Drosophila melanogaster: one gene and its partner. The protein of the gene in region 1 purifies or fractionates together with the protein of each later gene. This does not show direct contact. Each region holds a gene or a part of one and is shown on either strand. Other genes may lie near its edges. The genes, in order: cactin and Deaf1.

Region 1 (5,038 bases):
TCTGCAACTTTAGCGGGCAGTGCCACCTGCTGCGCGAGTTCCTGCTGGCCTCGTCGCCCGACTTGGACATATCCTGTCGCACGGGACGGCGGGGATCCTTCGAGGTGTCCATCGACGGTCAGCTAGTGCACTCGAAGCTTTCCTGCCTGGCATTTCCCCAGCACGCGAGTGTCCTGGCCCAAGTGCAGAAGGCGGAGCGTGGAGAGCCCGTGGAGAAAGTCCTGGAGCAGCCCATCAAGGACTGCGTCGTGATGTGATCTCCTACTTTCACGCCTAGACTGTTTAAACACGATAGCTTCACGCTTACACCAACATTTGTGGAACCCATTTGAAATCCTGTGATATATGGTATATACATATATAATAATAAATATAACATTATAATGCTCTCCTTATTTGCAAGATGGATGAATTGAAAAATGGGTAAAGGTTAAACAACAGTTTTCAGTTTAAGTGGAGTCAACTAAACAATCGCAATAAATGGAACGAGTTTGCTAGTTGTTCTGGGCTTACACTTTATTGGAAAATAACATAGGACTGCACAAAAGGATGGTTTGGGTAATCTAGGCCAGACGGTGACAATCCTTCACCGCCTGTAGCGATAGCGCTTGAAGTGGAACCACAGCTGGAAGATGTTGTTGTGGAACTGGCAGCGGAAGCCCCGCTTGTAGCTAAACTCCCACTCCCGGTTGACGATCTTGAAGGCGATGTCCTCGTACGGTGGTCCTGTGTGGAAACGCAGCACCGCAAAGTCCCCGTTGTCCGCGCAGGGAGTGAGGAAGTACTGCGGCGTCTGCGATTTGTCCATAAGGTCCGGATAGAATATGTTGAACTTGTATCCCTGCACGATCTTGGGCGGGGGATTGTCCATGTCGTAGTGCGTCTGGTTGTACTTGTTCCACTCGAAGCCGGTGTGCACGCGATTGAAGTAGCGCGGCTTTCGTGGTCGGTACTTATCGGTGGCCAGCTGCGGCACTGCATCCAGGGTGGTCTCCACACTGAACTCGGCCTCGTCACCCTGCATTCCCTGCTTCGCCTCGTTGCGCATTCGCAGTTCCTGCGGGGTCAGTTGATTGTTATCCACTCGTTCTGGATGAAGGATTAGCAGACGCTGTCTCTGTGTTCGCCGCTCGTCGTCCTCCTCCTCGTAGAGAAGTCCTTCTGCCTCCGGTTCGTCGACGTCTTCGTTTTGCGCTCGTCTGCCGGTGAAGTCCTCTTCGCGTATATAGCGCGGGCTGTAGTTCCCTGCCTGGTAAAGACGCACTGTTTTACGCAGCTCATTCAGGGGATCCTCCTCGTCTTCGGGTGAGCCCTCCTCAACCTCCGGGTCCTCTGCGTCCTGGGTTTCCATCTCCTCTTCCTTGACTTGTGGGGCCACCTTCTCTTGCAACGTCTCATTATCGTTTTCTCGCTTGAGCAGCGACAGCTTCTCGCGCAATAAGGCTTGATGGCGATCTCGCAGTCGAGCTCTGGCCATGTGTGCCTTGAGTTGCGAGAGCAGGCTTTCCCAGTAGCTAATGTCGACGCCATCCGCTCGCCCACTGATCTTGGCCTCGATGCGGTGCCGCATCTCCTCCAGCTGCTGAGCATTCTTCCCCCTAAAAATATCGGCCACATCCTTTACCACCGCCTGGTGGATGCCATCCCGGCGTTGATTGAGCGAACTATTCTCCGCCTCCAGTTTCTGTTGGCGCTGCAGTTCATCCTGCACAATGGTGATCATATCGTTCCAGAAATCGATGTGCTTGCCCTGCTCCAGCTCTTCGTATACCTTAATGTCGACCAGCAGGTCCTCCAGTTCTTCCACGGGCAGGCCGTTTAGCAGCACATAGGGCTCGTGCATCTGCATCTCGAGGCACTCTTCGAGCGGCTCATTCCCAGCGGCCACATATTGGGCGAGAAGATCGATGGGCTTGGCACGTCCATCTCGGATCCGGATTTCACTGCGCAAGCGTGCCTGCTCTAAGTGAAACTGATCTTCCTGTCGCTGCCACTCGCGGAACTGCACCGCCTCCTTGGCGCGCTGCTGCATCATAAGATCATCCTCGCGCACCTGCCGCTCCAGCTCCCTCTCCTGACGCCGTTTCTTGACCTTCTCCAGCTCCCTGCGATTTTCCAACTGCTTTTGCAGAGACAGTACCTCTACGGTTTTGGTGGAGAGATTTGATAGTCCCTCTACCTCCAGCTTTTTGCCCCAGTGGAAGGTGGAGGTGAGATTGGAGTCCCCGAACGGGTTGTCTTCGTTGGAGTACGTCTGGTACTCGTTGTCCCAGCCCATTCGTTCGCGACGCCGCTGCTCCTTGGCCTGCTTTTCGCGCAGGCGACGGGCGCGCTTCTCCTCGGGCGTTTCATGGGCCTTCAGCTCCTCCTTTTTACGCTGACGATCCTTCTGCTCGACGAGGCGACGGGCTTCCAGCGTCTGGAGAAGCTTCATCGGGCTTTTTACCAGCGGCGAACGAGGGGCACCGGGCACCGAGCTGGACGTCGAACTCGACGGGGATGAGCTGGAGGAAGAGGACCGGCGTCTCCGGCTTTTGTGCTCCCGCTTCTTGTCCCTGCTTTTGTCCTTTTCCCTTTCCCTGCGCTGGTCACGTTCCTTGTCTCTGTGATCTCTGTGGTCACGATCCTTTTCCCGCTCGCGTTCACGATCCCGATCCCTGTTCCTGCTGCTCCTCGGATCCGGACTGCGATGATCCCGCCTCTCCCGACTGCGGCTGCGATGCCGGTGCTTGGATTTCTCCTTGGGCATCTTTTTTAATGAGTTTTTCGGGATAAAACTTGTGAAATAAAATATAAACAATGCTAGCGTTGCCAGATGGAGAAAACCAACCCAGATAGCCACTAATAATTGCAAAAGTGCTATCGATATAAGCATTATAACATTAACACATCTCCCTCTTGCCGATAAGTCGATTTATTTTTCCAAGGGTTAGTTTTTACAAACTTTAAATTTTAAAATTTCGGCTGCAGCGTATTATAAATACACAAAAATAAATAATTTATCGATGGAATCCTTGGTGCAGTGTAAAAGGCTTTTTAGGGTCTTCGTGGTAATGCCCACTATCGAAACTGAAGACTCGATGTGTCATTGCAAGTGCCATTACTCAATATATCGATACAAACGCAAGTAGCCAATCCAGCTCTTCGCAGAAACCCGGTTGGCAAAAACGTTTATGTGCATTTTTTGTATTCAATCGCCAACACGAGAGCCGAGCTACCAGCAAAAGGATTGTCCAGATAGCCCGCCACTGCGCTGAGTAAGTAGTGATTCTGGAAAAGTGTCGGGGAAGACAGGAAAAACACGGCAGACGGTGAAAATCGCGCGCGGCAAAAAGGCCAGCGACAAGCCAGACGCACACACACACGCGAGCATCCGCACAAAGCCGACGCACACAGACGCATGCAGGCGAACTCAAAAACCGAAACACAAACAAAAGGATGGTTATTAGTCGACTATTAGTTACCTTACTTCCAGTTCAGCAGCAACTGAAAATCTGAACTAATCTCTAATCCAGAAATTCTGGATTTAAAACAAATCCAACCCTATCCACTGTCAAATACACGTTTCGTATTTGAAAGAAATGTGTATGCATTCACTTAAAACACAGCCATCTAAAACAGCTAAAAGAAGTTATATCGAGAATATAGCCTCTTTTCTCGTTGGTTGGCTTTTCATTGCGAAATAGCCTCATGGACTATCTCAACAAGTGGAATAGCTGGGAACGCGAATGTGTGTGTTTATATTATTTGCCCAATCCGTAAATATAGTTGAATCGTCTTGATTCTTAGATGTGGGGGATGCAGCTATACAGATGCACTTTATGGCCTCTAAAACGCTAGACTTGCTGTGCACGACTAGAGTAGTACCCTATCCTATCACTCAAGCGACCAAAAATTTATAGTATTTCTCTTATGCAACCTTGTGGCTACCTGAAAACCACCCGCGCCAGTTTGGTGAACGACTAACAACGCTGTCCCCGCCCTGTCAACGCCTGCAGTCCGATTCACCGCTTCCCCGTCGCCTCGGCTGCCGCCATCCTCCGGGTGAAGATGTCCGACTACAGCGACCTGGACCGACAGATCGAGCAACTGAAGCGCTGCGAGATCATCAAGGAGAACGAGGTGAAGGCCCTGTGCGCCAAAGCCCGCGAGATCCTGGTGGAGGAGGGCAACGTGCAGCGTGTGGACTCGCCAGTGACCGTGTGCGGCGACATCCACGGTCAGTTCTACGACCTGAAGGAGCTGTTCAAGGTTGGCGGCGATGTGCCCGAGAAGAACTACCTGTTTATGGGCGATTTCGTGGACCGCGGCTACTATAGTGTGGAGACGTTTCTGCTGCTGTTGGCGCTGAAGGTGCGCTATCCGGACCGAATCACGCTGATCCGGGGCAACCATGAGTCGCGCCAAATCACACAGGTCTACGGCTTTTACGATGAGTGCCTGCGCAAGTACGGATCGACGGCCGTGTGGCGGTACTGCACGGAGATCTTTGACTACCTCAGCCTTTCGGCGATCATCGACGGCAAAATATTCTGCGTGCACGGCGGGCTGTCGCCGTCCATCCAGTACCTCGACCAGATTCGCAGCATCGACCGGAAGCAGGAGGTGCCGCACGACGGGCCCATGTGCGACCTGCTTTGGAGCGATCCGGAGGACCAGACTGGCTGGGGCGTGTCGCCGCGCGGCGCTGGCTATCTCTTTGGCTCGGACGTGGTCTCCCAGTTCAACCGCACGAACGATATCGACATGATTTGCCGTGCACACCAGTTGGTAATGGAGGGCTTCAAGTGGCACTTCAACGAAACCGTCCTGACCGTCTGGTCGGCACCCAATTACTGCTATCGGTGAGTCAGCCTCCTGTGCAATTTCGAACTTGTGTTGTTAACTCTGGAATCTCTCCACATGCAGCTGCGGCAATGTAGCTGCCATCCTGGAGCTGAATGAGTACCTGCACCGCGACTTCGTCATCTTTGAGGCAGCTCCGCAAGAGAGTCGCGGCATTCCCTCGAAGAAGCCTCAGGCGGACTACTTTCTCTAA
Region 2 (5,221 bases), on another chromosome or scaffold:
CAAAGAAAAAAATAAAGAAAATTATGACTTAAAAATAAAAGACATAGAATTAGAAGTAGGAGATAAAGTTTTACTAAGAAATGAGGTAGGTCATAAATTAGACTTTAAATATACGGGGCCCTATAAGATAGAAAGCATAGGAGATAATAACAATATTACGCTACTTACTAATAAAAACAAAAAACAAATAGTTCATAAAGATAGATTAAAGAAATTTCATTCATGATTGAATTTAAACTTATATTTTCCTTAATCATTTATACAAATTTTCCATACACTACGTATATTTTTATCTTTGCATTATAAAATCAACTATTGTTGTTCAAACAAAAACACAAACAAAATAAAAATAAAAATAAAATAATTTGCATTTAATAATCAAAATAACTTCACTAGGTTACGTTATTTTTCAAAAGGAGGGAGATGTAGTATGTGCCTATGCAATATTAAGAACAATTAAATAAAATAGCATATTAACTTATGGCAGCACTTTGTTGCTATGTTTATGTTTATGTTTATGCACGCAGTTAGGCCAGGGCGGATGTAACATGATCACCCACTCGAAGGCAAAAAGTATAAGTGCATGGTCAGCATTCACACGCCGACCAAATACATATTACATACGTACATACATATCTCGCTCTCCCGATAAGCCTAGATATATAAGATATACATAAGAACGCCGCTCCGCTGCTGGCGTACCCGGCAGCGCAGCTACGCGGATTAGCCTAAGTCCAAATATATAAAAAACTGTAAAATCGGAGAGACTCTGTAGACGTTGAGCTGACAGAACCATTTCTGCCTACTCTAAAATCAAAAGAAGAAATTGAATAAATATATGTCAGCCCGACGGCTGCCTTCAACTTAAAACGGACTTGTGTTCTTAATTGGAGTTCATCATTACATCTCATTCCTTAATGAGATGTTCTATAGGGTTACAATATGACATACACACTTGAGAATAAGAAAGTTTTAATATTATTTCTTGCAACATTTTTGCCCAAGAAGCCCTTGCTGAGTAAAATTTCCAATTACTTGGAATTGTTTAAACCCTATAGTTTGCAAACAAAAAATTGTTGATAAACAGAAGTCAGGTGGGTTTTTAAAGCTGTGGTGTTATGAATTCGGTTTGTGCGCGAGTCCTGCACCTGGGACACCATGACGGACCGATGACCAGGTCAACTCGGTGCGCCATGCAGAAGGGGGGAGTGTGTAGTAATTGTTGTTCGTCTCACCTGACTCACCTGCTTCGTCGTCGCAGCAGACGGTGCAGCTGCAGTTGGTCGCGTGCGGCGTGAGCGTACCCTCATCGATGAGGGACTGCAGCGATTTGCCGCCGTACTTGATCGAACGCTTCCAATCCTTGCTGGAGCCCCGGCCACACACATGCTCAAACTCACTGGGCGTATGCCACTTGTCCTTGTACTTCACACAGCGTCCACGGCCGCCGGAGCCCAGCTTGCTGCGGTATAACTCGGCGCAGGTGGTTTTGCAGCGGATCTGGAAGACCTCATTGTGCTGGGTTGACGGGTTCTCCGACCATCCCGAGGAGCCACCACCCGTTCCGCCGCCGCCACCGCCGACGCCACTCGCTCCGCCCGCGGCGTGCTCCAAGGTGGCCAGGCTGTCGTGGCTATTGTTGCTCCCGGAGCCATCGTGATTCAGTCCAATCGTATTTGTGGCGGTCGTATTGGTGCCCGCATTATTGGCGCCGCCACCGCCGCCGCCTGGTTGCGTCTGCTGTTGCTGGATGACGATCGTCTTGAGGTCGTTGCCCATGCTGACCGTGCTGCCGGACAGGTAGCCATTGTTGTCGACGCACAGCATCGGCTTGAAGTGAGGGGGCAGCTGGTCGGGCGTGATCACATTGAAGGTAGTGCCGGTTATCATCGAACCGATGGGCAGGGATACGGGCACCGAAACCACACCGCCACCGCCGTTTCCTCCGCCCGCTCCGCTTGTACCGCCACTGGCGCCGCCGCTACCACTGTTGTCGTTGGAGGAGGATGTGACCATGCGAACCTTGGTGTCCAACTGCATTACCATAGCGCACATATTCCCACGTTCGTCACATGTATGTGGGTGAGTGTCCAGCGGCCAATTGATGGCGTTTGCGATTTAATTCAATGCGATTTGCACAGGAATCGGGAATGAAAATTCGAATGTAAGTAAACAACACAGCATGGGAAAAATGAAAATCGGTATACACAACATTTGTGCGCCACAAATGCGGTGGGTGGAGGGGGAAAACGAGGAGGAGGAGGCAAATTGGGAGTGGATGGAGGCGAGAAGGCGAGCGGGGAATGCCTGTGGCCCAGTGGGTCGCACGGAGCGTTCCGTAGGGCGCAAGTTGCGCCACCCCCAGGCCACCTAGCCCAACCACCCACCACCCACTTTCCACAACTGCGCAGAGCGAAGCGGAGCGGTTTTCGAGCCAGATTCGGTTTCGGATTCAATAGATAGAACCTGAACCAAACACACAGTCCGGAACCAAAACCACCCCGCCAAAGGAGAAGCGAATGGAAAATCCAAAACCAAATGGGCTCCTTACGCAGCCGTTTGTTGCTCCTTTTTCTTACCTGGTGGTGATGATGATGATGGTGATGGCTGGAGCTTTCTAATATCACCTCTTCTTTCACAACATCCTCGGCCAGCGCGGCCAGATCTTTCCTATTCAGGTGCAGCTCGGTGGAGGAGTCAACCTGTTCCATAGTATTGTTATGCCAGTTCACTTTCACTTATTCTGCGGTCCAACGATAGTAATGCACTTGAATTGTTCATCGGATTACCACTTGCAATTGGATTATTGCGATATATGTATATTATTCGACGTCTACCGAGACGACGGACGGTCTGTTGTTGTTGTTGTTGTTGCTGCCGCCGCGATCCGCGTTTTTTTCAGCGCTCACCACGACTTACATGCGAATTGCGCGCAGGTCGCGTTCAAGTTGCATTGCCCTATTTACAGCTGGTGGTTCATTGCAATTTACATTTTTTAAGCTTAAACTTTACTAATTTACTAAAAAAGTTGATATCCTCCTCTTCTTCCTCATGATAACTAGAGTTGTCATGCGCGTTGCAGCTATCGCCCGCTATCGGCACTATCGATAGTCGTGATTCGTGCTCGCTATCTGTGCCCCATCTCTGGTTTTTAAATATCGGAAAGTTTACAGCTATATATCTTGCATATTAAATTAAGATTTCTGAGAATTACAATTTTAAAGATTTCCTTATGACTTGATCTTAAAACTCAAAATCACACCGAATTTGGTTTTACCATTATTACTCTAAACATTTTCGCTTGTTTATTAATAGGATATATTGATGTTATGAAAACAAGAACGATTTATTACTTTCAAGGAAAAGTTTTAAATTCATGAGAAGAATAAACTATGCTGCTTGTGTTGGAACTACACAGTGTTTCATCTCTAACATACATTTCGATATATCCAATTGGACAGCTAGTTCAGAAAACGGTCACTCTAGCAATATAATGGTAACTATCTGATGATCCAAAATAATAATAAATAGTAAAACTGAATGCTTACAGGCCGATGTGGATGTGTTTATAAGTAATTATACAATCATCGATCCAGAAATTTACCAGCTATGGATCGAAGGCTTCTCCTGTAAGTTTTCTTCTCCCAATTGCAATCTTGTTTCATGTCAAACGGCTCCATCGATTTACAATTATAGCCAGCGAGGCGGTGTCCTATCTGAAACAGAAGGGTTTTGGTCACTCCATGGGCGCTCCCAGCGACCTGATTGCATCGGATGTACTGGATCATTACCGCACCTATTCCCTGATTGAACTATACCTAAACGCACCCACCAAACTGATGGAGCAATCCTGCTTCCAGCTGGAGCCACAAATGCGTGACCTTATCACCGAGAAGTACTATTCCATCGATGATGTGGTGGCTCGCGAAATTCTTGGCAAGAAGCTGTCGTCCCGCTACCGCAAGGACCTCGACGAGGTGGCCGAGAAGACGTGCGTCAAGCTAAAATCAGTTCGGTGGGTAAATTTGGCCGCTACTTAGGCAGAGTAGAGTCTAATATATTTCAACTTCTTCTTCAGCCGACAATTTGACAACGTAAAACGCATTTTTAAGGCAGTCGAGGAAATGCCGGGCACGTTAACCAACAACATCAAGCAACACTTCATCATATCCACCGATCTAGCCAAGTATGAATATAATCAATGTATTGAACTTCAAAAAGCTAAACCTTTCACTCTTACAGAAAGTACGCCTGCATTGTTTTCCTGGCCTGCCTGCGTTTCGAAACCACCAAAAAAAAGTTGCAATACCTGAGCTTCAGTGATTTGTTGACCTGCTCCCATGCCATCATGATCTACTGGACGTATACTTACCAGGTATGACTTAGCTCTGCTAATTCCTTACGAAACTAATTTACTAAATGCAGCACACTGGACCGGAGTACTATGATACCGAAATGGACAAAGAGTTTCTCTTGGACCTGCGGGAGTTGCGCTGTCTACTCGACAAGGAAAAGGAGATTAAGCAGTGAGATTTATTTTTCTACCGCACACGAGCTATTATATAGTTTAGTCCTTGCATTTAGCCTCGTCTGCATGCGCCTCAAACCCGTTCTTCTCGAGCGCGCCTTTCACGAACTGGATGGCAACTTTCGGTAAGGACTTATTTCTCGACATTATCACCTTTTCTTACTATTGATCTGTTTTGATTTGCAGTTCTTACTGGCGCGCCCTGATCACCATCGCCTGCAATTTGCATCGCAATCGGGAGCTGCGCGATCTTTTCGTCGATCTCTGTGAGAAGCTTATTGATCCTTGGCGTCAGAATGGCTGGAACCGTGAGCAAGTGAATAAATTTTTGGCTTCCATAACGCAAAGCGTTTTGGATCTGGAAATATCAAGGTGGGTACTTTTGTCTAGATTAATCAAGTAACTTTTTTGATAATCAACTCTAAATGTTTTGCAGGGACCAAGAAACCAGATGTCTTTGGGATCGCTATATGCAGGTCATAACGATATGCTTGGATAAAATGTATCACATTTAAGATGTGATTAAACTAAGGATCAAATATAAATAGTATTTAATTGTTTGTTTGTGTTTGTTTCGACTTGTGTTGATTTTTACTCAGATTGTCTAGCCAAAGTAAAATAATGAAAATTGATTCATATGAGTTTCATATTTAAATATTTAAATACCGTTGTTAATTGGCGCCAAATGGTATT

The links.
Region 2: the proteins of cactin (region 1) and Deaf1 purify together in Drosophila melanogaster (affinity purification with western blotting, with the first as the bait; one study listed by BioGRID). This does not show direct contact.

The regions. Positions count from the first base shown.
Region 1 is NC_004354.4:20,421,865-20,426,902, reverse strand, and holds cactin (cactin), read right to left. Parts: upstream 2,835-5,038; 5' UTR 2,750-2,834; coding exon 587-2,749; 3' UTR 501-586; downstream 1-500. Other genes in the region: CG15456 (uncharacterized protein), read left to right, coding at 1-257; Pp4-19C (protein phosphatase 19C), read left to right, coding at 4,051-4,844, 4,909-5,038. UniProt on the Drosophila melanogaster protein: Plays a role in pre-mRNA splicing by facilitating excision of a subset of introns. Plays a role during early embryonic development. Involved in the dorsal-ventral embryonic patterning.
Region 2 is NT_037436.4:19,816,025-19,821,245, reverse strand, and holds the start of Deaf1 (deformed epidermal autoregulatory factor-1), read right to left. Parts: upstream 3,073-5,221; 5' UTR 2,712-3,072; coding exon 2,580-2,711; intron 2,145-2,579; exon of another isoform or gene 2,056-2,144; coding exon of another isoform or gene 2,035-2,055; coding exon 1,236-2,034; intron 1-1,235. Other genes in the region: fibp, read left to right, coding at 3,494-3,496, 3,551-3,629, 3,697-4,015, 4,079-4,186, 4,243-4,375, 4,426-4,526, 4,585-4,653, 4,715-4,900 and 1 more. UniProt on the Drosophila melanogaster protein: Transcription factor that binds the homeotic Deformed (Dfd) response element. High affinity binding sites contain at least 1 TTCG motif surrounded by additional TCG sequences.